Linked DNA regions of Drosophila melanogaster. The protein of the gene in region 2 purifies or fractionates together with the protein of the main gene of each other region. This does not show direct contact. Each region holds a gene or a part of one and is shown on either strand. Other genes may lie near its edges.

Region 1 (6,407 bases), on a different chromosome or scaffold from region 2:
GGTCTAAATTATATCAAATTCTTCATCCCATCGGAATGAATGGAAAATGCGATATAAAACTAGATATGCCAAACCAAAAGCAGCTGACGCGTACAGCTGAATCGCCTAAAATAGGCGGGGTGATGGTTAACTCTACAAAGGGCCAAGCCCACGTTGGGTTGAGGTACATACCGAAAAGACTGGTTCAAGTATCAATCATGGGATTAATGCTACTTTGTATTAACCCTGACGTCCCCTCTCTTTCTTTAATGACGTAATAAAATTATGATGTGACTCATAACCAAAAAAAATAAGCTTTTGAAGGTCATGTACTATTTACGTGTACTTTATGTCGATGCTTTCAAACAACCAGATCATCGATTAACGCTTCGAACTATGAAGAAAACGGATGGAAAATATGCTGATTACCATCTATACGTGGTAATAGAGATCCCAAAACAGTAGGGTTCCTCTACAGTATGTCTTTTCTTTAAAACGCAGAGAAAATGAATTTAGACATTATATATAAAAGTATTTAAACAAATTATTTATTCATATATGGTAATTCTTAGTTTAGGTTTTCTTGTAAAATAACAATTTCTTAACTTAACTATGGATTAAAATGTCTAAGAAGTTAAATCAATGGAAATTATACGCCCAGTGCCATTGAAAGGCGGAGCCGCGGAAATCGCATCAAACGTACTACTCTCAGTAGTCTGATTTGTAGTGCTTTTTTTCGAATTAGCCGAATGAGCGTACCAGTCTGTGAGTGCGACCAAGTTCTTAGAAAAATTGCAGTTTTCCTGATTGTATTCCTTTCTGTGTCCCTCAGAATCAGCAAAAGTATTCGATGTACTCAGGGAACCAACCAGTGAATGATTGGCTATCGAGTCTACGGTACAGCGACTAATTACTGAATTAGCCTTATAGTTTGAATAAATATATAAAGATTGCTGTAGGGGCTTAACCGAATTATCAACTATTACTGATTCTGGCTCTGGAGCACATTTACTTGGCTCGACGACGCGGCTACTGTACAAATTTCTGTTGTTATGTGTAAGTTTTATTACAGTCAGTGCATCCGAGCCAAGTCTTTTGGGCGAGCCTATTGCTGGCTCTTGTTGCTCATCGTCGTCCGAGGAGCATAAGTCAATTGTATCAACAACAACTTCCTTTGTGGGTGAAATTCTCCAGTGTGAGTTGAGCGAATTGTGGCGCGTTAGTCTTATATTGAGTTTTGTATTTGCAGTGTGATTTTGCTCTTCCATTACGTGTTCGGATATTTTTTTCAATCTGACTGATATTGGACGGCATTGTTTAATCAGCGGAGAGTTCAAAAACAAAAAGTTCTCAGTAGTGTCCCTGCGTTTAACAAATTGACGCCGCGGAAAGGAATATATGTGATAATTGTGTTCATGTGACTTTTTAAATGTACAATGCACTGTAGTGTTTGTTTTTTTTTCAAAATACTTTTGCTTGGTATTTGATTTATTGATCAATGGAGTGTAACAAAAGCGTTCCAGGCGTTCCTGTCTTTCCGCAATATAATCCATTGATATTGTTTGTTTTGTCGATTTTAACAATTGCTGTCCTGCAGGTGATGATATTGGGATAAACGAACACCTACTAAACGAATGAACTGTTCGATTTCTCCGCGATGGTAAACGCCTCTTTCTGTTTGATGTTTCCGTTGATGTTTCTTCGCTGAATGAATATGTTTTCTGTTTCTCTTTAGATAAACTATTATCGGAGAATTTGGGTTGCAGTTTAAAGTTTAAGAGAAAGGCGTTGCGCTGTTCGATATCTTCGTTTTTCCCATCACTTTTGTTATCTGGCTCAGGGGAATCACAAAGTATAACGTCATCCTCCATGCAACAAATGTTTTCGTGTTCCTGTTATGCAATAGAGTTATTAACTATTAACTTTGACAATCTTTGGCAATCAACTTACGAGTATAGCTTCTTTAGAATAAAGTTCGGCATCACAGTTGTCACATAGGTAGATATCAAAAGGTGGTGGCTCAACCATCATATGCTGTACGTTTTCGCTAATGGAACTGTTGTTCTTTTGCAGCAACAAGCACTTTCTGTTCTTTTGTTGTCTATCATATGACTGCAAAATAACCAATTCAGAATTAACTAATTTTAAAACCCAATTATTCAAAGTAGGCTTGGCTTACCATGTTTTCATTTCGAAATGTAACCAACAGTTTGTTGTTTCTCCTGTCATACAATGAAGTTGTTGAGTTATAATTGTTTATGAATCTTAAGCTCGCGTGTTCATACGCAGCTAAATCATTACAAAATCTTAATAGAAATAAGCTTTTGTGAAATTGATAGCATATAACCACAATTTCTTTCATTTTTTCCATCCAATTCTGTAAAATAGATACAGGTATATATTAGCCATTTATGGGGGTGAATGTTAAATATAAGCCATAGAAATCAAAAGGTAAGGGAAAAAAGCTTACCCCAACAAATGCTTTCGGCTTTTTGAGCGGAATCTCGAAAGGAGCGCTTTCGGGCCACCATTCTGGTTCACTGCAATCTATTTTCTTTGGTAAGTTTATGTGTCCTAAAGAGCATTGCACCATGAAGGGAATAAAATTTTCTAACTGGGACTCCGTAATTTTTTCTAGGGATGTTGGATATCCGTTCGCAAACAAAAGTGGTAGGTTGGATATCATGTTGTGTTGAGCTTTATCTTTTTCATCCATTGTCACTGCAAGTGAATTAAAATGTTATATTTTATTGCCATGTTATCGATAGTTTTCCAAGATAACCGATTAAAACGATTACATATGTATAACATATCTACTTAAAAATTTAAAACTACTAAACTTTCCTAAAACCAAACCAAACAAACGATTTCAAATATTTATTAGCAGTTGTGATAAGTAAGGGGCGCAGTATATGGATCTAGCTGTGTCCGTATGTCTGTCCGTCCTCATGAACGTCGAGATCAATAGAGAATACTGAGGGTGATGAGTAAACTCAATTAGGTACCGTGTAATAGTTGTTCTATAGTCCTTGAAAAGTATATAATGATCATCTGCCTGTCCGTCCTGATGAAGGCCAGTTACTCGTAAAAATATGAAACTAACAAGTCTTTACAGCCTTGATCCGGATTACTAGCCATGTCGATACAGCCATAACTGACTGTAAGTCCGTATTTGTTCGTATAATCGTAAAGCCCTCAGGTACTATTAAAGCTACCCTGGAATTGAATTGCCACGTACATTGTGACACCTAGGGATCAAGGTCTAGAATACATAACTGTTTACGTCCTTTTTGTTCTAGAAATCTCTAGTTTAGTGACCGCAAACATTACTTTTTTGCAGGACCATTTTATGAACGGTCACATTAAAAAATGGCGAGTGATAACCACAAAATGGCGAAGATACAGACTGTCAAGTCCGTGGGGACAATCGATAAAGGTATCGATGATTTTTTTTTGCAAAATTACAATCCTTGAAATGTACCTTTATTAGGTACTATATATCGTATACACATTGTACCAATAAAGTACAGCAATATGATTAAACTTTTTTTTTTATAAAATACTTGTTTTGCCAAAGGCGTTGCCACTTTGGTTTAGAACCAAAGCTAGTGGTTACGCCTAGCGATTTCATGAAATTGACATGAAGTGGAATGTTCCCACTTACAGGTTTGTGCGATATCGCTTCGCGAATGCTAACTATGCAGTTTATACGAGTTATATATTCTTGTGGCGAGCCACGACCAGCGTTTCACTTTTGCAAAAGGGGCAGCTCATAAACCTTGCGTCTAACTGCAGATTTCCTTACTGAAAAACCACGAATTGCTCTCATATGTGTACATGCACACACACGCACACACACACGAAAAACACACATATGTATTCCAAGGGAAGTGGAATAAGTTTGCAAATAAAATTTTTACTGCATAACTTGGGACATTTTTATACGTAAACACACTCACACAAGCACTTCTAGATAATTATACATAAACACAAATATTCATATGTTAAATGGAGTCATCACAATTATGCTGTGGTATAAATATCCCACCTGATTTAGACGAGTGTATGTAATACACTCAACGAAAATTACTATGTTCAGCATCATTTGAAATATAATTTGAATAGTACACACTTATACGTTAAACTGGTTGATAACGAACATTTCGACACCGATTTTGTATGGCAATACATTAAACTCAGTGCTCTGGAATGCTCAGTGCTCTCTGCATATACATATCACTGAGTGAATCCATTAGAAAGGAGTCTCAAAAACCGATCAAAATAGAATCACCATCAGTACGCACCAAGAATTCGCAATGATTAACAAAACGGTAGACACCGAGATCTACAATCACAAATATGATAACATAGTTACAGTACACAACACTTTCTTCGTAAAAAAACCATTTGTTGTAGTTGCTATCGAATAGTCGAAGTGAGAACTGACTGCTAAATGGCTGAAATAATTGTGACAAATACTACCCAGTCTTCAAATTGAAACGCGGAAATGGAACAAAATGTGATGTTGCACTTTTACTTTGCTCTTAAAAAAGTTTTTTACTGTAAATAAAATACATGTACTGGAATTTTTGTGTAAAATCGACATCGAATTAATTCGATTCCATCAAACACAGCTGACGCAAACATCTGTTAATCTCTTATACAAAGTAAAGGAGAGTTGTATACCTTTAAAAAACTTTAAAACATTTTTTTTATTATGGTATCTTTTTCTAGCTTTTTAGTAGCACACAAGGACGAGGTCCGTGATATAAAAATTTTGTTAAAGAGAAGAAGAAGCATTAAATAGTTAAGTGGAAGATAATATATAAAAAAAGTATCCCTCTGTATCCCTCTTTCATCAAACCTCTTCACGCAACGACGACAATTGTGGTGAACATTTCGTTGCAACCCATCACAAGCAATAAATCAACTGATGACAAGTATACACACATGTTGATCCGCAGGCCTGTGCAAAAGTTCGTCAAACATCGATGAGGTGCCACGTGGAACTTACATTTTGCTACGTTGAGATCAAACTTTTTTTTTATTTCTTTCCGGGCACTAATAAGTGTTTCAATTTATGGACGTTTTGTAAAAATTGCAATAAATTTGTTTATTTACTCGCACATCAAAAAGCAGTTCGTATGAGAATGAGAACGTGTTAAAAATTTGGTTGAAATAAAAATGTCGTGTTTCATTTCCATCGTTTCAGTAGCAATAAAAAACGAATCCGATGGCGTAGATATCGATATACCTGCATTCCCTTTCAAACGTGTTATCGTATTGTTCAGCCAATTGTGCAACGTGTTTGAGTAAATCTGCGGGCGAAAGACTAAAAATGAAAGTAGAGGCATTGGACAAATTCTGGGCTGACAAGAGCCGCTACGATCTTGCCGAGAAGCGATTCTACGAGGGTCCCCAGAAGGTAAAATCTCTAAGCAATCACAGCCATAAGTACTTAAGTTGTTAGCCAGTTTCACGTGGCCGGTAAATCAGTTCAAATGGTTTCGGCAATGTTTATTGCAAATCTGTTTGTTTTAACAGCAAGGACGCCGAAACACACATGTTCTAAACTTCAATACATACGTAGAATGATCTATTAAAAGATTTCTATATTTATCTGCCTTTGATTTTCAATTGCTGTGTTCATATTGCACATTACATTGGTATATTCTTGTAGCTGTATGTAACAGGTGAACGTTTAACACTTTTAAAAAATATAACTATGTGCGTAAAGTGTATACAAAACAGAGTGTGAGAGAAAACTAACTCTGGCAAGCCAAATTTTGAATACACTTTCCGTTTGGCAATTGGTATAAATACAAAATATAGTATGCAAAACATAAGTACTTAACATGACACCTACACAACAAAATTCGTTTATTCAATGGAAATGTGCCAAAAACAAATCGATGTATACAAAGTTAAAACCTATTGAAATTCAGGGAAATACTATAGTTAAGTAAAGGTTTAAACACGTTGTATTCTATCTACACAAATATACTACACAAAATGCATAGCACTGCATTGTATAATATTTAAACTACGTACAATTTTTGGGCTGATTAGAGTGAGGCTTATCAGTATTTCAGCATGCTTGCATGACAACAGACTTGAAGTAGATGCCCGTACATAAAACATCTCATTTTGCTTAAAAATTATTATCCCTAGAATCCTTTGTCAACCATTCGATACACCAAATGTCAGTTCACACAAGTAATCAATGGTGTTGTCTTATTTTTAAAGGTAACTGATCGCAGCCACTACAGCCCATTAGTAAGCGAAATCGCAAAGGCTAGGGAACACATACAGAACTCGCTGGAAAAGGTAACTATTGTGATAAATCTTTGTATTTCAACATTTGATTTGTTCACATTCCTAGGTTTCTTTCGGTTTCTTTAAAACTTTGTAGAGAATTGTATAATTAT
Region 2 (6,733 bases):
CTGGACCTGGACTACATCAAGAAGACCATGTCCGGCTGCAAGGAGCACTTTGCTAAGGTGGCCTATGCCGTCACCTCCGTTCCGTCCTATCCCTGCGGCCACATTGGCTTCGTCATGGGCTCCCTGAACAAAAACCAGGACTTCGCTACTCCCAAGCTTGGAAAGTCCGAAATCGATTCTATAGACCTAAGGTACTACTCCTCCGAGGTTCACTCCGCCGCCTTTGCCTTGCCTCGATGGGTGCAGAAGCACTTTTACGAATGACCAGGTTGCGGAAAGATTCGTGTGTATCTGTTTGTTAAAAATAAATATGATAATAATATGACTTGTTTATCATCGCTTCTTAAATTCTTGGATATTTTCAACAAATGCTGACTCTTGCAATGATTCATTTTTAGTCGAATTTTTGTAGCCTGAGTATTTTCCTTCCAATCCGACTACCATCTTTCAGTTATTTTACTGTTGAAAATAGAACAAATTGTAATGTTTATTACGTAATGATATATACAGTTGGCTCTATTTAATTTTTGTATTTGTAAGTGGATGCTGGGTTAACATAATGAGACTTATTGCAATATTTTACACGACCGAATGTTACTCTCATTTATATATCGCATATATTGCAAAACTTTGAAAGGAAGCGTTTCTTATATGCAAAAATGACCTTAACTGCATGTGAATAATTAACTAAAAACTGATATTCAATTTCAATAACTTAATAGAAATTAAATCTTCAACCTGTTTAATGACTAATTAAATATTGTTATAGTTAGGAAACGCAATTGATACATAATTACAAAATTAGATGTAAAATATGTACAATCATTTAATATTGGTTTTTATTTTCTCGCCTATTCTAAAGTTAATTATCATTTCTTTTGTGTCGGATAGATTTTGGTGTCTAATGTGCGTGTTTTTATGTGTAATAAATATAATGTATGTGCATTGCGATTTTGGTAGCCGAGCTCCAGTTTTCGAAAAAGTCGAATCATTTTGTGTCCAATTGAGAACTATTTCACATTTTTCGAAATAGATGGATAAACTAATTATTGTGTGTGTACGAATACTCCACTCCTTTGACTGGGTAAATTTGAATAAACCTATAAAAATTCCTAATTCAAGTATAATAATTTTGTCTAAATAAATCAATTTGTAAATGTGTATTCCAAAAAAAGAATCACGAGCAGTTGGAAAAAAATTAATAATAATGGTTTTGAAAACCGGAGCTTGACTGTGTATAATTTGTTATGCGATTGATTTTGTATAGGGAATTTCATGTCTTCGCGATTACATTTGTTATAGCGTGTTTTATATTATCAATATAATAAAATAGGGTAGGGGTTTTTTCTTCATGAATGGCCAACACATAACACATCTATGAATATCGTTCATGTTTGCTTTGCTTTACGTTAAAGGGAGGTACTAATTTGTTAACAATTTCTATATAAGTCAAACCCGAACCGAGTCCGCTGCCTGAAACTTAATGTTTTTCTGTTTAGAGTGCCAGATTATTTCGACGACCATTGACCTTATTGACTAAATTGCAGATTTTTAAGGCTGGTCCTAGCTTCAGGCCCATGTACTTCATCATCATCTCTGAATTTAGCAATAATAAAGCTTTACCATCGATTTCCTACAGACGAAAATTAGATAAGTTACTTTATTTAAGGTAATTGGTAATAGCTACTACTTACGTGCTTTCGGAAGAGATCACCATGAACTGCAAGGGAGTTGTCGTTGCTCTCGATGTACTGGATCACCTCTTCGATGGTCCAGTCGATCGGCTGCGACCGCAGATGTGAGTTTGCCAAAGCAGAAGTGGGCGTGCTCACGGGTGAGGTAATCGCGGTGTAGCTCGGAGAAGCTCCCGCAGTTGCCGCTGCTCCAGCCGGCGCGGTGGCCGCCTTAGCCGCTGTAACTCCACCTGCAGCCAGTGCAGTGGACGAGGCTGACTGGCAGCCCGTGAACGGCGTGGACACGGATGTCGGCAACGAGGCGCTTGACGAGAGCGTCGTCGGACTCTTGTAGTAGCTATTCGAGGGCTTTACATTGGCCTGCTCTGGATGAACTTCTGCCACAAGAGGTGCCAGGTATTTGCCAATTGTGCTGGTGTTCGCCGATCCTCCGGCTAGGCTCGTGCTGGACGACGTTGACGAGCTGCTGCAATGGCTGGTAGATACGTGCGTGGTCTGGCTCGTATCCTGGTTTCCGTTTGTCGCAGAGCTATTCGTATTCGTGTTTGCGTGGTGTTGGAAGCGTACTTTGCGCAGAGCCTGCGTTGTGGAGGAAGTCTGCGCGTTCGCTCCGTTGGGCTCCGATTTGATGACCACCTTGTTGCTGGACTTGCTGGCACTGTTGTTGTTATTGTTGAGACTGTGATTGCTGTTTTGCTGGCTTGCAGGCTCCTTGCCATTGTTCGTCGAAGTTTTCGACTTGGACTCCACTGGCGATTTGACAGCCAATTCCTGCTTGATAATCTTCTCAGAGGGTGATGTCGTTGCCGAGTTGGATTGACGGTTTCGCTTGTCGGCGAGCACTGGCGAGGAAGGCGGTGTGGCTGACTGAGTCAGTTGACGCTTCCGACTATTGGCGCACTTCTTGCACTCCTCCGTCTCGTGGACCAAGGAAATGAGATTCGCACATGCCCGGCATGTAGTGCACAGCGTTTCGATGAATTGGGCGAGGCTTTCGTCATCCTTCATTCGCATTGGCGATGGTATTTTTACCTTTAAGAAACGAAGAGTATATTTTAAACATGCTTTTCATTGAATTTAATTGATCTTGAACTCACTGTGAAATTTTTCCCCGCTGCCGTCACGATATGAACATCTCCTTCCAGGGCAAACAGCAACTTTGAGAGCTGTTGCGTATCCGTGCTGGCAGCTAAAACCTCCTGCAGGCAAAGCTTGGCCAGCGTTTGGTAGGTGGGTCCCGTCACCATGCAGGGCAGTTTGGAATTGTTGATGAACGGACCGCCCTTGCAGTTCGGATGGAAGTGGGCTGTGGCAGGGGAAGCGGGAACCATAGCCTCGGACTCAGCTACAACAGTGTAGCGGGGTCGAGGGCATCGCTGTTTGCTAGAGCTGGAGTCCATGCGCGATTTATGGCCCGGTGGCTGCATGGGATGACAACTTCTAGCGCACCAGCCGGCGGGAAAAATGTCACGCGATCGGTAATTGCACCAGTAGTCGAATGCCCCTCGCCAACCATCGAATGTTACATGGATCTGATCATCCTTGATTGCATCTACTGTTGCACAGCAGATGAGCTGCGGGTTCTTCTTGTCGACAGCCTCGAGTTTCTGGCCCACCTTGAACAGGTTTTCTTCTGGCTCTGGCGGCTCTGGCTGGAAGATCTCTTCTGGCGCCACCATGGCATTGTTGAGGATCTTGCACAGATAGCCGGGCCAGCTGGATGCGTTCATGCGGAATCCCAGAGGCGGCTGCAGCATGCCACCGTTCTTTTCACAGTGTCCAATAGCATGGATCTCCGTAGAATCGACCAGCCGCCAAAAGTCATTCTGGGAGTCACTTCCATCCAGGCGTAGCCGCAGTCTGGAGCCAAGCACTCCGACCACGGTGGCAATGCAGGTGGAAGTGACGTTGCGCGGATCCAAAGCCTCCAGCTTCATTCCGATTTTAAAATCATTGTTGGGAGGATTCTGAGCCTGTTTGAAACATTTTGCAGGAGCAGCTTCGCTACCCGTTTCCTGGAAACCACAAAAAGTATGAGATTGGGGGTTAAAGCATTATCCCAGCTTGACTTACCTCTAGATAGGCATCCCAGTCGAAGACGTGGAAGCTCTCGTATTGAAAGGGCCCCGTTGGTGCGGGCGCTCCACTGGCCAGCAACTTGCGCTCGCTTTCCGCCAGACCCTTGCCCGATGCCGATCCGCCGCTGTGCCTGGTCGAGCAGTTCTTCTTCTGGTGCTTGTTCATGCACATGATCGAGCAGAACTCCTTGTTGGGCGCCCCATCGCGGATGACGTTGTCGCACTGGGTGCACGCCCCCTTGCTGTACGCCTTGCGGAACTCGGCAATGCATGTTTCCGAGCAGAACTCCTTCTTGCCGGTCTGCGTGGGCAGGACGTACTGCAGCGGTAGCTTGCCCTCGCCGCACCAGGTGCATGTGGCTCGTTTGGCCGGTCTACCTCGTTGCCGTTGCGTGGACGCGGGCGATGTTGTACTTCCAGGGGATGCGGATGTGGATGTGGAGGAGGCGGATGCGGATGCGGAGGAGGTGGCATTCGTACTGGCCCCTGGCGCAGCAGAATTGCTCCCGCTACTGGTACTGCTATCACGTCCGCCCGACATGGTTTCTCGCGTGGCTGTCCTAGTAGTCGCACTTGCTGATTCGCGCCGGCAAGCCCCTTGGCATCTCAGGCGATTTCGATTTCGTGTGTTCCGATCCGGCGGTCAAATCGCATTGCGGCTGCCTTGAATCATTAGCCACCAATAGCAAGTTTTGTTTTGCAGCACTAACTTTCCGATTTCTTTCGATTTGGCCTGGCGAAATTTTGCGGCGTTCTTGAGGTCACGTAATAACAAATTGGTGGCCAAATCGCATCGCATCACCCAACGAAAACAAACGCGAGCCGCACAATTAGTTTCTGGTTCACCAAATATCGAGCTTTATATTTAGAGCGCTGCGCGGATCTTGTTACTCGGTTTCAATCCGAAATTAGATGATTTTGAGTCGCTTAAACTCCAAAATGTTAGACTTTTTTTACTTTTACGCTCGGTTCCGCCATATTTGTTTTTCTAGTGGTGACATTCAGATCTTTGCGCATATCGATAGTTGCTTACCTGTGACAGCTCACGAAGCGATGAAAATAATCAACTAATGTGACTAATCGAAAAATGTTATCGAAGCAACTAAATGCAATTTTAAAATAACGTTAAATGGGAAATCACATAACTGACAATAAATAGTCAATTTAAAGAGCAAAGTAGATAATGCTCAATACTTTTACCACAATGTTGTATTTAATTTAACTGCTAATATAAATAAATATTTGTCATTTTTAAAAACGTAAGCCCTTATTATAGAAAAGAAATTTGGATTTCCTGTCAAAAATTGTACAGCGTAATGTAAAAACTATTTAGTCTAGTAAACTGAACCGTTTTGGTTTTGAGAATATAAACTTATAACCGAATTCCTACGTTTTAATATCAGCTCATAGTATTTCCCAGTAAAACTAACAAAACGCTCGTGAATCAAATTTGCACAGCATCAAGTGGGCGTAAATTGGTGAATAATATAAAAAGTCTGTAAATTTGAAAGCGCACGGCACACATCAGCCGAAAATCAAAAAAAAAAAAATGGGTTAGTCAACAAAACTAATATCTACCAATTTATAGAACGCTCTGGTATGTAAACATTTCCATTGAACTGGGAGAAATTCGCAATAAAGCGGTTCAGATAGTGGAAAATGGGTTGAACAAGGGAAAGTTTTGATATTTTAATAAAATCATGTATAACATAGGAAAGCGGTTTTCGTAATTACCAAAACCATGAAACAATCAATACTGAAATACAAAAATATGTTACTATCAAAATAATGGCTTATACGATTGGCCTAAGGCTTTATTAGGTCAAGCAAATTAATATTACTTGCTTACCTTTCGTTAATTTTATTTGCTGAAGAGCGTCGCAAATGTCAAGAAGTCTAGCAAATTACTAGAAATTACATAAGTGTGTTTCGTTTGCAGTAAATTCAGTAAGTCGAAAGCGGCTCAAAGATGAAACAAGTTGGAAAAACTTTTCTGGGATTAGCCGAAATGTATATTGGTCAAACTTTTTGGCTAACTTCTGCTGCTGTTTGATTTTTGTTCGCTTTGCCTAAATGGTCCGTAACTTGATTTAATTGATGTGCTTCAAAGAATAATCCGCTCACTTAGTCGCGTTTCAAAGATAACCAACTGGAAGCCAAATATTGCGGTCGAAAAACTTGATAACACTGTTAATTGAATGTTTTGAAGGCGGCGTGATGTCCCTCTTTAATAATCAATAAAGACATTCCTAATTATTAATGATTAAACTTGACCGAAACCAAGTTCCCTGACACTCACACAATCGTCAAATCGCGCATAATTGGATGGGACCATCGGCTGCCCATAACAAGGATAATTGGATGAAATGAGGCGGCTGCCTTTTCTGCTCCTCATTAAATGCCCGTTTACCGTTTAGTCGCCTGTCAAATCCTTGATGGGCTATTAGAAAAAGGGGTGTCCAGAGACGAGTTCTTGAGTCATTGACTTGTTACGCAAATTGGACAAAAGAAATTTCTGGCTCCGAGTGGGCACTGGAGTGGGGATTGAACTTAATAAGCATATTCATTAATGGGTGTACAGAACCAAGTACAAGGTTGCATCTTACACCCTTATGGATATCCTTTCCTTCTTGAATCCCTAAGCAAAAGTAATCAGGCAAGTAGCTAGACTTTACTAGTTGCTCTATTAAAAATTAAAAGTAAATTAAAATTGCCTCGCACTACCAAAACAGCATTACAGCTCGCATAAAAGCACGTATAAATTGGCGGGAGTGGCATTTTGACGGAATTCAATCAGCCATAAAGCATCCTGCTGGGCAGGAAATGGAGGCGTTTGCCTACGTGCTTAATTACAAGCCGACGCATGCACATTCTGCATACATAAAAGGCGAAGACACGTGTTCCAAGCAATTAAAAAGTATGTCAAAGTGGGTGATCAACGCGCCCAAGGACGCAGGACAA
Region 3 (4,890 bases), on a different chromosome or scaffold from region 2:
GAGACTGAGACAAAGCCAGCTTTTTGCTCGAATTGTTGCCACTGCTATTTGCATTGCTGACAACGCTTTTGGCCGCCTTATTCGTTGCCGTTGTCGTTGTTGTTTTCGCCAACGTTGACAACTGCGACTTTTGTTGTGTGTGAGCCATTGTTGTTGTTGCTGTTGCTTCTGCTGTTTGCTTTGTTGTTGCTGCTGCCGGCTGTATTGCTTTCGATTCTGGCGTCATCATAGTAATAATACACTCTCGCCGCTAAAAATTCGCTTTTGTTTTTCGCACAAGCGTCAATCTGCAAAATAGATAATGCCAGAAGTTAAAATTAAATGCGAATAAAGGAGCGCATGGAAAATGTGAAATGGAAAATGTAAATCGACTCGAGAAGAGAGCGTGCTGAAGATTATAAATAAATCAGACGCTGAGCCGCAGAAAGCAATAAGCCGAAGCTATATCGGTATAGCCTCGTTGGTGCGCGAAGAAGCTTAAAGCTCCACTCGCCCCTCGCTGTTTACGATAGAATAATGGAGGCAAGGGAAATATACACTTTCTGGGAAAACTGGTAGAGTTAATGAACTCGGTGGGATCGTATTTTTCCTCACTGCAATCTTCTCTTTTGCATCATTCTTCGTGAATCAGTTTTAATATAGTTGAAATGGTGATAAAGTTTCTACAGTGATCGTCATAAGAGATCTGTTCAGAAAATATTTTAATGATGTTGCCAAGTACGCTGACTCAATATAAATGATCAAAGACAAGAACTTATTAAGTAAAATAAACAAATATGTTGTTGCATGAACATCGAAACTTAAAGATCATTTCAATTTTTAGAGTTTAGTGAATATGCTTTGACTTTAATTTGTTAGAGAACGCTTTAGCTCAAAGAAATCAAAATGCATTTAACTCAGACATGATGTCCCAAATTAAAGCTTGTGGGACTTGAGCAGTAGACAGAAAGGAGTCGCAATCTGGCAGCTATTATTTGCAATCAGTCGATGGATGTGGGGGCCCTCGATAATGGATGTTGTAGTTGCCATGGGAATGCCTACGTCGAATATATTGAAATGCACAGCACTTTTGGGATCAAAAGAGGGGGGAGCAGAGTTGCACAGGGGTGCTTTGTTTTATTATGGATGGAAGGGTGGAGGGGGGAGAGTGAAGAGTGCCGAGTGGAGTTTTAACCAGATGCCAAGTACATCGAAAGTGGGGGGCGGATCTGTGGGGGCGTCGAACAAAATGTGTATTTCAAACAACTTCAAGTTGTTTTTGCATCAACGCGCCAGTAAAAAGTCAAGGTACATACGGTAAACTTTTCGGAAAAACTTTTTCAACTCCGGGGGCACACAGAATATGGAAAATTATATTTGTGTACAGAAAATATGGCAATGGAATATGAATGACTGTATATGGGAGAGGGCGAAAAGAAATTGCCAGCAGGCCTCTTTAAATCCTTTTTACATCACTTTTAAGTGCTGTGCGAAAAGAGGAACCCTTCTGTTGGCCCTTTCCCTTCTTATTTTACCGAACCCATTCCATTGCCGTGTTTAAAGTCTCAGGGATTCTCGCGCGCGCAAAAAAATGTGAGTGAGTACCAACATGAAAAGGATAATAAAAAAAAAAGCAGCGGAATTTCTTATTTGTGTGTGGTGTGCGTGTGTTTATATGCTCGCGTATGTTTGTGTGTGTGTGTGTGGGTAGGGATGCGAAGGGATGTTGAAAGAAGGGAAACGCGAGACTGTGACAGGGAACAGAAAAAACAACAACCCAGCGAAAATTCGGAGAATGCAGAACCGAGACTGCGGCTTTATCTCCTCTTTCACAAGCACGCACACACACACACTCGCATATTGCTTTCATTCAAAGAAACAAGTACATAAACATAAAACAAAAAACGTTGCTAAATGAAAGAGCAGTAAAAAAAAATCAGTCACACACGCTCATATTCTCATGCTCCCCTTTTTCAATTGCCGTGTGTCCAATCGAAATTCTTACTTGCTGGGACAAAAGGAGAAAGAAAGAGAGGGGGTCATCAAGAGAAAACAGAAGAGGGGCTGTGGTTGGTGGGGGGAGAGCGCAACAGCTGCCGGTCGAGAGCAGTGTTGATTAACGCCAATCATGTACCTTTGTATCCAATCTTTAATCCACTAATAATCCAGCCAGTTAATTGGCATCGCGGTGGTCGCCTTGTATACATAAATAATCCAATGGCAAGAGGAATAATCCAAGTAAATAATCCACACTTGAGTTTTGAGTCAGCGTTTCTGCTTCTCTTTCTTCACTATGCTCCACTTCACTTTTATTTTATTTTATTTTCTTTCTACTTCTTCACTTCGCCTGCACATTCAAACCACACCAACACGCGCTGGCACTTTCGGCTGCTCTGCTTTCGCGGGCACCTTTATTGTGTATTATGCTTTGCTCTATGTTTTCTGCCCCACACACACACAAGCGCGCGCGACGTACATAAGCCAGCAGACGTAGTTGTGTTGTGCTTCTGTTGTTGCTGCTACGGCATTTGTCACACAAAGGAAATTGGCTTCAGATTGCTTTTTTATTATTATTATTATTATGCAACTGAAGCTTTGAGCTCTGGTTGTAATATAAACACATGTTTCTTGTTTCGTTATTTATAGTGGTCGCTTCACTCTGTTTGGATAGCGATAAAGCAGGAGTATCGAAACAACCGACCGCACACGTCCGTTCGCTTTGAGAGTTTTTGTTCGACTAACGACCACGCTGCTTTTCGTTTATGTACTGCTGCGTTGCCCGCTATTTACTCTCTCTCGCATACACACACTTATATACCAGGCCAAAGACAGGTAGCCAACTGCTCTGGGCGAGTATCTTTGTTTTCTTTTTCGTCGCTCGCACACTGATCGTCCGTCTCGCTCTCGCCGGCCTCTCACTGGGCAACAAGTCAGCTATCTCTCTTGCACGCGCACTCGGCTCTTTTGTTGTTCTCGTTGCGGGGCGTCGTCGCTCTGGCTCGGTCTCTCTCGTTCGCTCTGTAATCTTTCCGCACAGCGTCGACGAACCGCTCTCGTTGAATGTTGGTGTTGCACTAAAACAGGCGCTCTTCGCTGACTCTGTTTTTCGGTCGCCACATCGTCGGTCGCTGCCGCTGCCTGCGTCGACGCCGACATTGACGTCGGCGTTTGGCTCTTTTCTTTTGCTTTGCCAGCCGTTTCTTTGTTCGTTTCTGTATGTACAAGCGGAAAATTGAAGAGGGAGGGGGATAGAGAACAAAGGGCTGCACATAAATGGCAGAGGTTTTACAACTCTTACGGGCTCTTATCCATCTGCAAACACTTCGGAATACATAAGACCATGTGCAATCAAGGTAGAATGAGTGCCTATGTAATCGCAACTTGCAATTTCCGTCAGCAGAAATCGCATATTTGCACGTAGGCGTACGTCTATATCTGCACCCCTCTCGCTCCCACGCTATTTAATGCCTCCAAATTGGAAATGCTTTTTGCTTCTTTTCCCTTGCCTTTTCCTTTTTTCCCCCACAGAAGTGGCAGCAACAGCAACAACCACAATGTGAGCGCGAAAGAGCTCTCCAATCAGTGGCAGCCAACAACAATAAAAGCAGCAACTTCGTTTCCGTCTTGGCGAATTAACCGTTAGACTGCTCTACGTAACGTAACAATGCAGATCTAACGGATAAATTGCGAACGAAGGAACCGTACCATGACGATACTTTCCATGCAAATTAACACCATTATTATCATTGCCGTGGGAGTTAAGAGTTTATTTTGCATATTTTTATTTATAATGATCCTATCCTCTAAATAGTAGCGTACTCACCCAATACTATTCTGAAGTCTTCGAAGTTCGCAGATCAAAAAGTCTAAAGATTTTTTCTTTCAGTTTTATTGCAGGGAAAACTTCTTTTTAAAATTTTTTAATTTCTTATTCATTTTCCATTCTATTATAATACTTTTATTGATTGGTTTGCCCACAGTAAAATCGGAGATGTCAGGAGGTTTTAAATTAATATATTTCTTATTATATTTCTTATTCTTATATTTCAACCATTTCTTAAACTAGCCTTAATAAATTACAAAATGTTTTTAAAGTTTCATCCCAAACAATAATAAAGATTGATTTTTATTCTCATAGAAGAAATACAGTAGTAATCTTAGAGTATATTAAAACTGTAAAAATATTAAAATTTTATATTTAAAAGTTTGATAAGTACACAATTGTAAAAGTACCCTTCAAGCCAAACAACTAAAATTATCATTGAATACATAACATTTAAATGTTATTATATTTTTCAATCAACAAATATTTTTGTTTTGTCTTAGTTTGTTTCCAACTTTTTTTTAAGTTCATGTTACTATAAAATTGTTTACCGATCGGACCTTATGTCGAAAGCTTGCATTTTATTGAAAATGTGCTTTTTGGTCTATTTTTAGCCTTTTGTATGAATCGTCTAGACAAAATATGCACTCAAGAATTGTCTTTGCGTGAACTTTTACGGAATCATAATAGAATTGCATTCTGTTATCATATCTTTCACAATAGTGATGGTCAAAAAACCCCAATGAATTTTAATTTAAGTGGTGTTTTAGGCAGGGATTTGTTTTTTTTTTGTAATCACTCCAGTAAACACTTTCGCACACAGTTTTCACCGTAGAAGAAAAATTCCAGCATTACAGGGACCTCCAAAGGCTTTTTAATAATTCTTGATTATAATGATTAGTTATGTATTTAATATATTATTATTATTATGATTATTATTTCTGTCACAAAGTAAAGGATTCAATGAACATTTACCTTTCAGTAAAGAACCTAATAAATGATTTGGTAAAGATCTTAATATAACTTAATACATCGCTTGTTTTAGGTATATACATACGTATAACCATAAATTTTGGCACATATGTATA
Region 4 (6,777 bases), on a different chromosome or scaffold from region 2:
GAGAACCGTATGAATTTCGCAAAGTACCCTATAGAGAAGTCCTACCTACTTCACCAAATGGCAGAGATTCATCTTAAATCACACAGGTTTGACGAATGCTGTTTTAGTGCCCGAAAGTCTATTGAAGGTTTGGTCCATTAGTGCTATACTATTAAACGGTTATGGAAATACCTATATATCTATCTTTTTAGAGGCAAAAAAATGCAATAGCTACATTTGGCAGTTTCTGTGCTACCTACTGATAATAAAGGCGAATGCTGCACTCCACAAAGTCGAGCGAACCAGTGAAGCTCTAGATCTGGCACTAAAAATTTCCAAGGAATTGAAAGAAAAGCATATTCATAACTTCTTGACTGCCTGTATACACTGTAATGAGGAGGAATTCATCGTGAAGAAGCAGAGCATTTTTGCGAATAGCCGGCGCGAAAGCGAAAAATCGGTGTATAGTTCCCTGTCCGTGCGCCATAGCAATTAGAGCTTTGTATTATTTGTATAACCAAAAATATTGATTAATAAATTCTCAGTGCAATTATAATAGTGTAGTGACCTATTAGATACCTATACTCAAGTACCCCTGCGTATTTGGAATTTGCATTCTTATTATCAACTTGCAAGCTCCTTCATGGCTAGATCGACTCGGCTACTGATCCTCTTTTAAAAATAATGCTTGTGTAACGTATATATTACACAAACATCGGGCTTACTTTTCACTAGTCTAAGCAAATTCTTGTCTTAATTTATAAAAATATAAAATATTTTGCAACACTTTAAAATATTTTATGGGAGTACAGATAATAAGTGCTCTTCTTTTTGCAGTGTTTTTATTTTAGTGTAACATACAACAGTTCTTCGCTTAAATCGATGGTTTTGATACTACAAATATTACACTGATGCTTTCTCTACCAGCTTGGCCATCATCTTCTCCTCCTTGGCCTTTCGCTTGGCCTCCTTCTGCTTCTTCTTGTCCTCCTTCTCTTTTTGCTCTAGCATTTCCTTAAAGCGTTCGTCGCGTGTATCCACCTTGAACCCGAAGTGTCGGCGCACCTCCTCTACCAGGCGTTCCTTGCGTTGTATGGCTGCCGCTGCATCCGCCTCCCGCTTAGCGATCTTCGCGTGCAGGTCCGCCTTCCACTGTGTCAACTTCTCCATCTTCTTCGCAATGTCCTCTTCACGGGCATTTATCCTTGCCAGCTCCTCTGCCTTCTGCGCGCGGTTCTTCTCCAGCATTTTCAGGAGTGTTTCTAGTTGCATAACCTGCCTGCTGTCTTTCTCTCCGTGGGAATCGAAGCAAATCTTGGGATTCACATTGCTCTGGGCCCCATACCGGCCGAATGCCTGTCTCTGGTACTTCTCGGTCAAATGAATCCAGGAGTGAGGTTCCTGGTATGGCAATTTGTTAAGGAGCACATTTTTGTGTTGTGGTTGCAGGCCGGATCTGTCCACCGTCTGGGGATATGTTGGTTCCACATCCACGTCGCCGACCAAGGAAGCCGGCAGTTCCGCTTTCGCAGCGCTCGAGTACTGGGCGCACGAGCGGAGGGCAGGAAGTCTGGTGACAACGCTTATCTTGCCTACATTCATTTTGAATTGTATTGTCTAAGCAAAATAGTTTATTAATTTCCAATAGAGATGAGAGAAAATCGATAGCGATGACACCAATGCTGGCAACTAAACCCTTTTGGAGCTAAATTCAGATATTTTTTAGGCCCCGTCAGAAAGATAAGTAATAGATATTAATTGTTGTGACAGTCTGGCTGCATCCCAGCTCAAGCTCTATATATTTCTTTTTTCCTTGCTATTTATTTCTATCAATTTGTAATTATCGTTTCCACGATTTGTTACTGACATTTTACTTGTCAGTTTTTATTCCGAAAATAGATTTCTGAGGCTTAAAATTATCATTTTTATGTTGTCAGCTCAAAATATAAAAGAAACATAAATTGATTATACATACGGGCGGCGCACAAGTGTACCCTTAATATACCAATCGTTATCGACAACAATGGTACGTGCACATATGCCCTAATGCAAAACTAAATTCTTGAAAGCGCGGAATTGCATTTAAAACAACTCGTTTTACTTAAGTTGAAATAAGCATTTGCTCGGATAAAAGCCTACGCCACGACATGGCGGGGGATCGTGCCTTAAGTTCCAAGCAATTGGCGGGGCGCATACATTCCGTGTACTGCAAAGATTTCGTGTAGGTTTATTTCCATCAAAGGCGCAAATTGACAATTTCGCGGCTCATTTGATTATTTCCAACAACAGATCCTACAGCGAGATCACATTCCATCCGAAGCACTACCTGAACGTTCTGACCGGTCCCAATGGCAGTGGCAAGTCCACCATCGTGTCGGCCATAATTTTGGGCCTCGGAGGGGAACCGATTCTCCTTGATCGCTCCGCCAGCGTTGCCGACTACATACAGAGCAACAAAACCTCGGCCACCATAATTGTCCGGGTGTATGGACGCACGCCCAACACCACGGAAACCTTTCGGCGCATAATAAACTCTAATGGCTTGTCTACCTTCTCTGTGAACGACAAAGACACCTCCAAGAAGAACTTTTTGGCTGCTGTATCCTCCTTTAACATACAAGTCAGCAATTTGTGTCAGTTCCTCCCGCAGGATCGGGTTCAGGTATGTCGTTATGTTGGCAATTCATAAATTACACACCTATTTATTGTAAACATACTGTTTCAGGACTTCTCCAAGATGAATCCTCAAGAGCTTTTGCTCAACACAATGTCCTCCGTGTGTGACGAAGACCTGATCAACAGCTTCAACAGTCTAAAGCAAATGCGCACAGAACAGGCGAATGTCCATGCTAATCGGGAAAAAGAGAAAAGTGATCTGGTTAAGAAGCAAAAACGATTGGAACAGTAAGATATAGTTACCCGAGCTTATTTTTATTCACTAAGTAAAATGTAACCAAATGTGTGGATGAAGTACAAAATTTTAATTCTTACTAAAAACCTAATTGTCTTAATATCATTTTATTAGCTTACAAATGACTGTGTCCCAATATAAAGAACGCGAAGAGGTCAAGCAAAAGCTGCAGGTGTACAGTGCGAAGAAATTGTGGGTTGAGACTCAGGCTGGAGAAGCCAAGGCCGCAGAAATGAAAACTCAAGTGAAAAACGCAAAAACTCAGAGCGACAAATTGAAGAACCAACATGACAAACTTCTTCAATCCCAAGAACAAATTGAGAAGGAAAAAGAATCACTCAGAAAGGCCTTATTGGAAAAGGTAATGGGTGGCAGTGTTTTTTAATATATTTTTTAAAAATAAGTTTTTTTAGACACGCTTATTAGAAAACGCTGTAGCGGAGAAGGCGGCTATTGATGGTAAAATGGACTCTTTGAAGCAAGGAATTTACCAAAAAAAATATGAACTGGAGGTTGGTGTTCTTGTTGCATATATCGATCATGTGAATAACTCTTAATCTTACATTCTGTCACATAGCAAAACATTAAAAAATCACGAAGAACGGCCACAGAGTGTGATAACCTAAATCAGTTGGTGGAGAATAAAATTTACGAGCTTGAAACCCTAAATAAGAGCAGGCCTCTGATCGTTTCGGAACTTGAAAGGGCTAAGGAATCGTGCGCAGCTGCCCGCGGGAAAGCAATGGAGCAGTACAGCAGACGGAGACAACTGGAACAAAAACTGAATGATGAAATGATTCCTGAAATTACTGCGTATAAACTTAAAATAGAGCGGTTGAGAAACGTCAAAATGCAAAAGATTGATGTAAGTTCTTACTGAAATAATGAAAACTCAACTTAACGCTACCTTTCATTTTAGGAAATTAGAGCAAAAAATCCGAATTTGGTTGTGGCCATGAACTGGTTGGCGCAAAATAAGCAAAGGTACAAATTGAACGTTTATGACCCAATGATACTTGAGGTGAGCTTTTCAAAATGAAGCCATTACCAATGGCCTAATGTTAAAACCGCTATCATAGCTTACAGTACAAAATCATGAGGACGCAAAGTTTTTGGAAAACGTTGTGGCGCAGCGCGATTTATTTGCATTTGCGTGTGAGGACAAGGGGGATATGTCGGACCTGATCAACGAGTTGTGTGTGAAGCAAAAATTGGGAGTTAACGTTATTTACTGCGCACCATCCGATAGACTCGTGTACAGTCCCAAAACTCCCATCGATGATCTGCGGTATGCACTTGTCAATTGTCCAATACTAGTCCAATACCTAGTTTTAAATACTTTTACAGCTCTTTCGGATTTCGGTCATACCTCGTGGATCTTGTCACGGGACCAATACCACTAATAAACAAGCTGTGCGCTTCCTATTCCATTCATAATATACCAATTGGCACAGAAGCTGTGGGCAATTACACTTCATCCATTCCAAAAGCTATCCGAGTTTATTTCGGCGGTGTGTATATTTTTCTTATTCGGTTTCGCTTCGCAAATGTATAAATTCTGATTTTGAATTCCGTACTGTGCATTTTAGGCAGCAAGAAGTTCGTTGTGACCGCATCCCGCTATCGGTCGGATACTATTCTAACTGAAAGTAGCATTCGAGCGAAGAACCAACTTATTACAGTGGACTCACAACAACTGGCCCTGGTGATGAAACAGTGCTCCGAAGCAGTGAAGGAAAGCGACAGCATTAAAAACGCAATAACCCAGACCGACAATGAATTTGAACGATTGCAAGCTGTTGCAAAGGATGAGCAAGAGAAGAGACGAAAGCTTGACCAAAAAATAGCCCATTTTAATAGCCTGAAAACCGAAATTGAAACGCTCCAAAAGAAGCTGGAAGCCCTGCGCAATAGCGATTGTAAGTATTTCTTAGTGCACTAAATATTCAGCCATTATGAACCGTGTTTTTTCAGCGCTAGACTGTCTTGAAACCAATTTTTGTAACAGTTTGCATAAAGACTTAAAAAAAATATTCGATGCTGATGCGGAATTGTGCTCGTGCTTGAAAGCTATTGACCGACTTATAATTGAAAAGAATATGGCCCAGACAAAGGTATCCATTTATATGCTGCAACATGAGACTCAAATTGAAGCCCTCAAGGAAAGCGAGGAACAGAGTAAAGCAGCAACCGTAAGGAAATCGAAATGCACTTAAGGAATTTATTTATAGGAATGTTTTGCTTGCAGAGAGACTTCCAACAGTTGCTGCAGTGCTTAGAAAATCAAATTAGCGACGTTAACAAACGAAAGAGCGCTATTCAGGGCCTTTGCCACGGAGAAATTCCAACCAGTAGCAAATTTCCTTTTAAGAAGGAATTTAGGGAGCTGGAAAATATAGATTTGCCCGAACTACGAGAGGCAATACATGACTTTCAGGCACGATTGGAGTGCATGAAAAGTGTAAACTCCGAGGTAAAACACTCTTTTAAATTAGTGAACTGAAGCTGATATATCTAATAACTTTCCATATTAAAATATGCAGGCCATCAGCAGCTATCAAGGACTGCAAAATGAAGTCAAGCAACTGGAGGAAGGAATTCAAGAGTCTGTTAACCAAGCAAAGAGCATCGAGTCTGGCATGTCCAATTTATACGACAAATGGGAGCCCAAACTTAATAGCTTGGTAGAAACAATCAGTACCAAGTTCAGCGAATTTATGGAGTCCATTGAATACGTGGGAGAAGTTGTGTTATCCAAAACCGACAAAGTGAGAACTTAAACTGTCCTACATAAAAACTTTACTTCAAATGTATTTCACTTTATTAATTCTAGTATGACTTTGACTCATATGGTATTCAGATAATGGTCCAGTTCAGGAGAGGTCTCCAGCTGCAGCCGCTGGACAAGTTTATTCAATCTGGTGGCGAACGCGCAGTGTCCATCGCCATATACTCATTGTCCTTGCAACATGTCACCCACGTGCCATTCAGGTGATTGCGGAACCCAGCTGCAAACTGACGCCCGATTTATAGTTCTCCATTTCTAGGTGTGTCGATGAAATAAATCAAGGCATGGACGCTACAAATGAACGTCACATATTCGACTTGCTCCTCAAAGAAGCCACCAAGCACGGCTCGGCTCAGTATTTATTTGTAACACCTAAGGTAAATATAAATGCTTATTCATTTAAATATTTAGTTAACTGTTTTAAATCTTCTTTGTAGTTGCTTCGAGACCTGAACTACAACGAACATCTCTGTGTTTCCATTGTTCACAACTCAAAAACTGTTTGCCATGGCATGCAATTCCCGATGGCTTAGACACTTTGGGTCATCCAGATTTACTATATGTATTTTTTTATATTAAACACTACAAAACATATCTATTGCATTTTGTCGAATGACCAGCCTTGTGGGGACTCCTTTTCGAACTGTTGGCCTACTCGGAATAAAATCTGTAAGCCGGTAAACAAGTCCAAAGGCAATGATGCCTGACGATTTGTTTTATCAGATTTCAATTTGTCCTCGATTTAAAACCCTACAACAGCACCTATATCTTATTTCATATGTGAAATGATTTTAACACTACAATGCGAATACTTTTAAGTAAAGAGATGCCTTTGTACATATGTTTTTTAAGTAATTGGATAAACTATTTTGGGATGTTAAAAAATATATTTATATTTATATATATATTTATATATATTTAGATATGCAATTTAATGCAAATCATTTCTTTACAGGGTTAATATTAAGCAAAGTATGTCAAAAGTATGATCCCTCGACGCAAACTATAAAAGTTCAGGTTAACTTCAGATAGATGGTTAGTTTTTTATCAGCTCCAAAGAAGTCGGGTTTTGATCGCAATCCGTGTGTGCCCTTATTAT

Evidence for each region.
Region 1: the proteins of Scm (region 2) and ova purify together in Drosophila melanogaster (affinity purification with mass spectrometry, with the first as the bait; one study listed by BioGRID). This does not show direct contact.
Region 3: the proteins of Scm (region 2) and Psc purify together in Drosophila melanogaster (affinity purification with western blotting; 3 studies listed by BioGRID, with this or other methods). This does not show direct contact.
Region 4: the proteins of Scm (region 2) and SMC5 purify together in Drosophila melanogaster (affinity purification with mass spectrometry, with the first as the bait; one study listed by BioGRID). This does not show direct contact.

What each region holds. Positions count from the first base shown.
Region 1 is NT_033779.5:10,227,256-10,233,662, forward strand, and holds ova (ovaries absent), read right to left. Parts: upstream 4,438-6,407; 5' UTR 4,028-4,437; intron 2,701-4,027; 5' UTR 2,696-2,700; coding exon 2,450-2,695; intron 2,357-2,449; coding exon 2,159-2,356; intron 2,092-2,158; coding exon 1,930-2,091; intron 1,872-1,929; coding exon 606-1,871; 3' UTR 505-605; downstream 1-504. Other genes in the region: eEF1delta (eukaryotic translation elongation factor 1 delta), read left to right, coding at 5,318-5,404, 6,226-6,306.
Region 2 is NT_033777.3:9,632,843-9,639,575, forward strand, and holds Scm (Sex comb on midleg), read right to left. Parts: upstream 4,770-6,733; 5' UTR 4,314-4,769; coding exon 3,768-4,313; intron 3,710-3,767; coding exon 2,792-3,709; intron 2,727-2,791; coding exon 1,695-2,726; intron 1,634-1,694; coding exon 1,496-1,633; 3' UTR 517-1,495; downstream 1-516. Other genes in the region: SpdS (spermidine synthase), read left to right, coding at 1-264. UniProt on the Drosophila melanogaster protein: Polycomb group (PcG) protein. PcG proteins act by forming multiprotein complexes, which are required to maintain the transcriptionally repressive state of homeotic genes throughout development.
Region 3 is NT_033778.4:12,977,935-12,982,824, forward strand, and holds the start of Psc (posterior sex combs), read right to left. Parts: upstream 3,061-4,890; 5' UTR 2,114-3,060; intron 288-2,113; 5' UTR 230-287; coding exon 1-229. UniProt on the Drosophila melanogaster protein: Polycomb group (PcG) protein. PcG proteins act by forming multiprotein complexes, which are required to maintain the transcriptionally repressive state of homeotic genes throughout development.
Region 4 is NT_037436.4:21,567,253-21,574,029, forward strand, and holds SMC5 (structural maintenance of chromosomes 5), read left to right. Parts: upstream 1-1,999; 5' UTR 2,000-2,126; coding exon 2,127-2,200; intron 2,201-2,268; coding exon 2,269-2,641; intron 2,642-2,704; coding exon 2,705-2,883; intron 2,884-3,004; coding exon 3,005-3,251; intron 3,252-3,303; coding exon 3,304-3,402; intron 3,403-3,467; coding exon 3,468-3,755; intron 3,756-3,809; coding exon 3,810-3,911; intron 3,912-3,969; coding exon 3,970-4,178; intron 4,179-4,237; coding exon 4,238-4,401; intron 4,402-4,479; coding exon 4,480-4,809; intron 4,810-4,864; coding exon 4,865-5,082; intron 5,083-5,138; coding exon 5,139-5,363; intron 5,364-5,433; coding exon 5,434-5,658; intron 5,659-5,723; coding exon 5,724-5,881; intron 5,882-5,937; coding exon 5,938-6,055; intron 6,056-6,115; coding exon 6,116-6,211; 3' UTR 6,212-6,271; downstream 6,272-6,777. Other genes in the region: CG7634 (uncharacterized protein), read left to right, coding at 1-127, 192-475; CRIF (CR6-interacting factor), read right to left, coding at 883-1,581.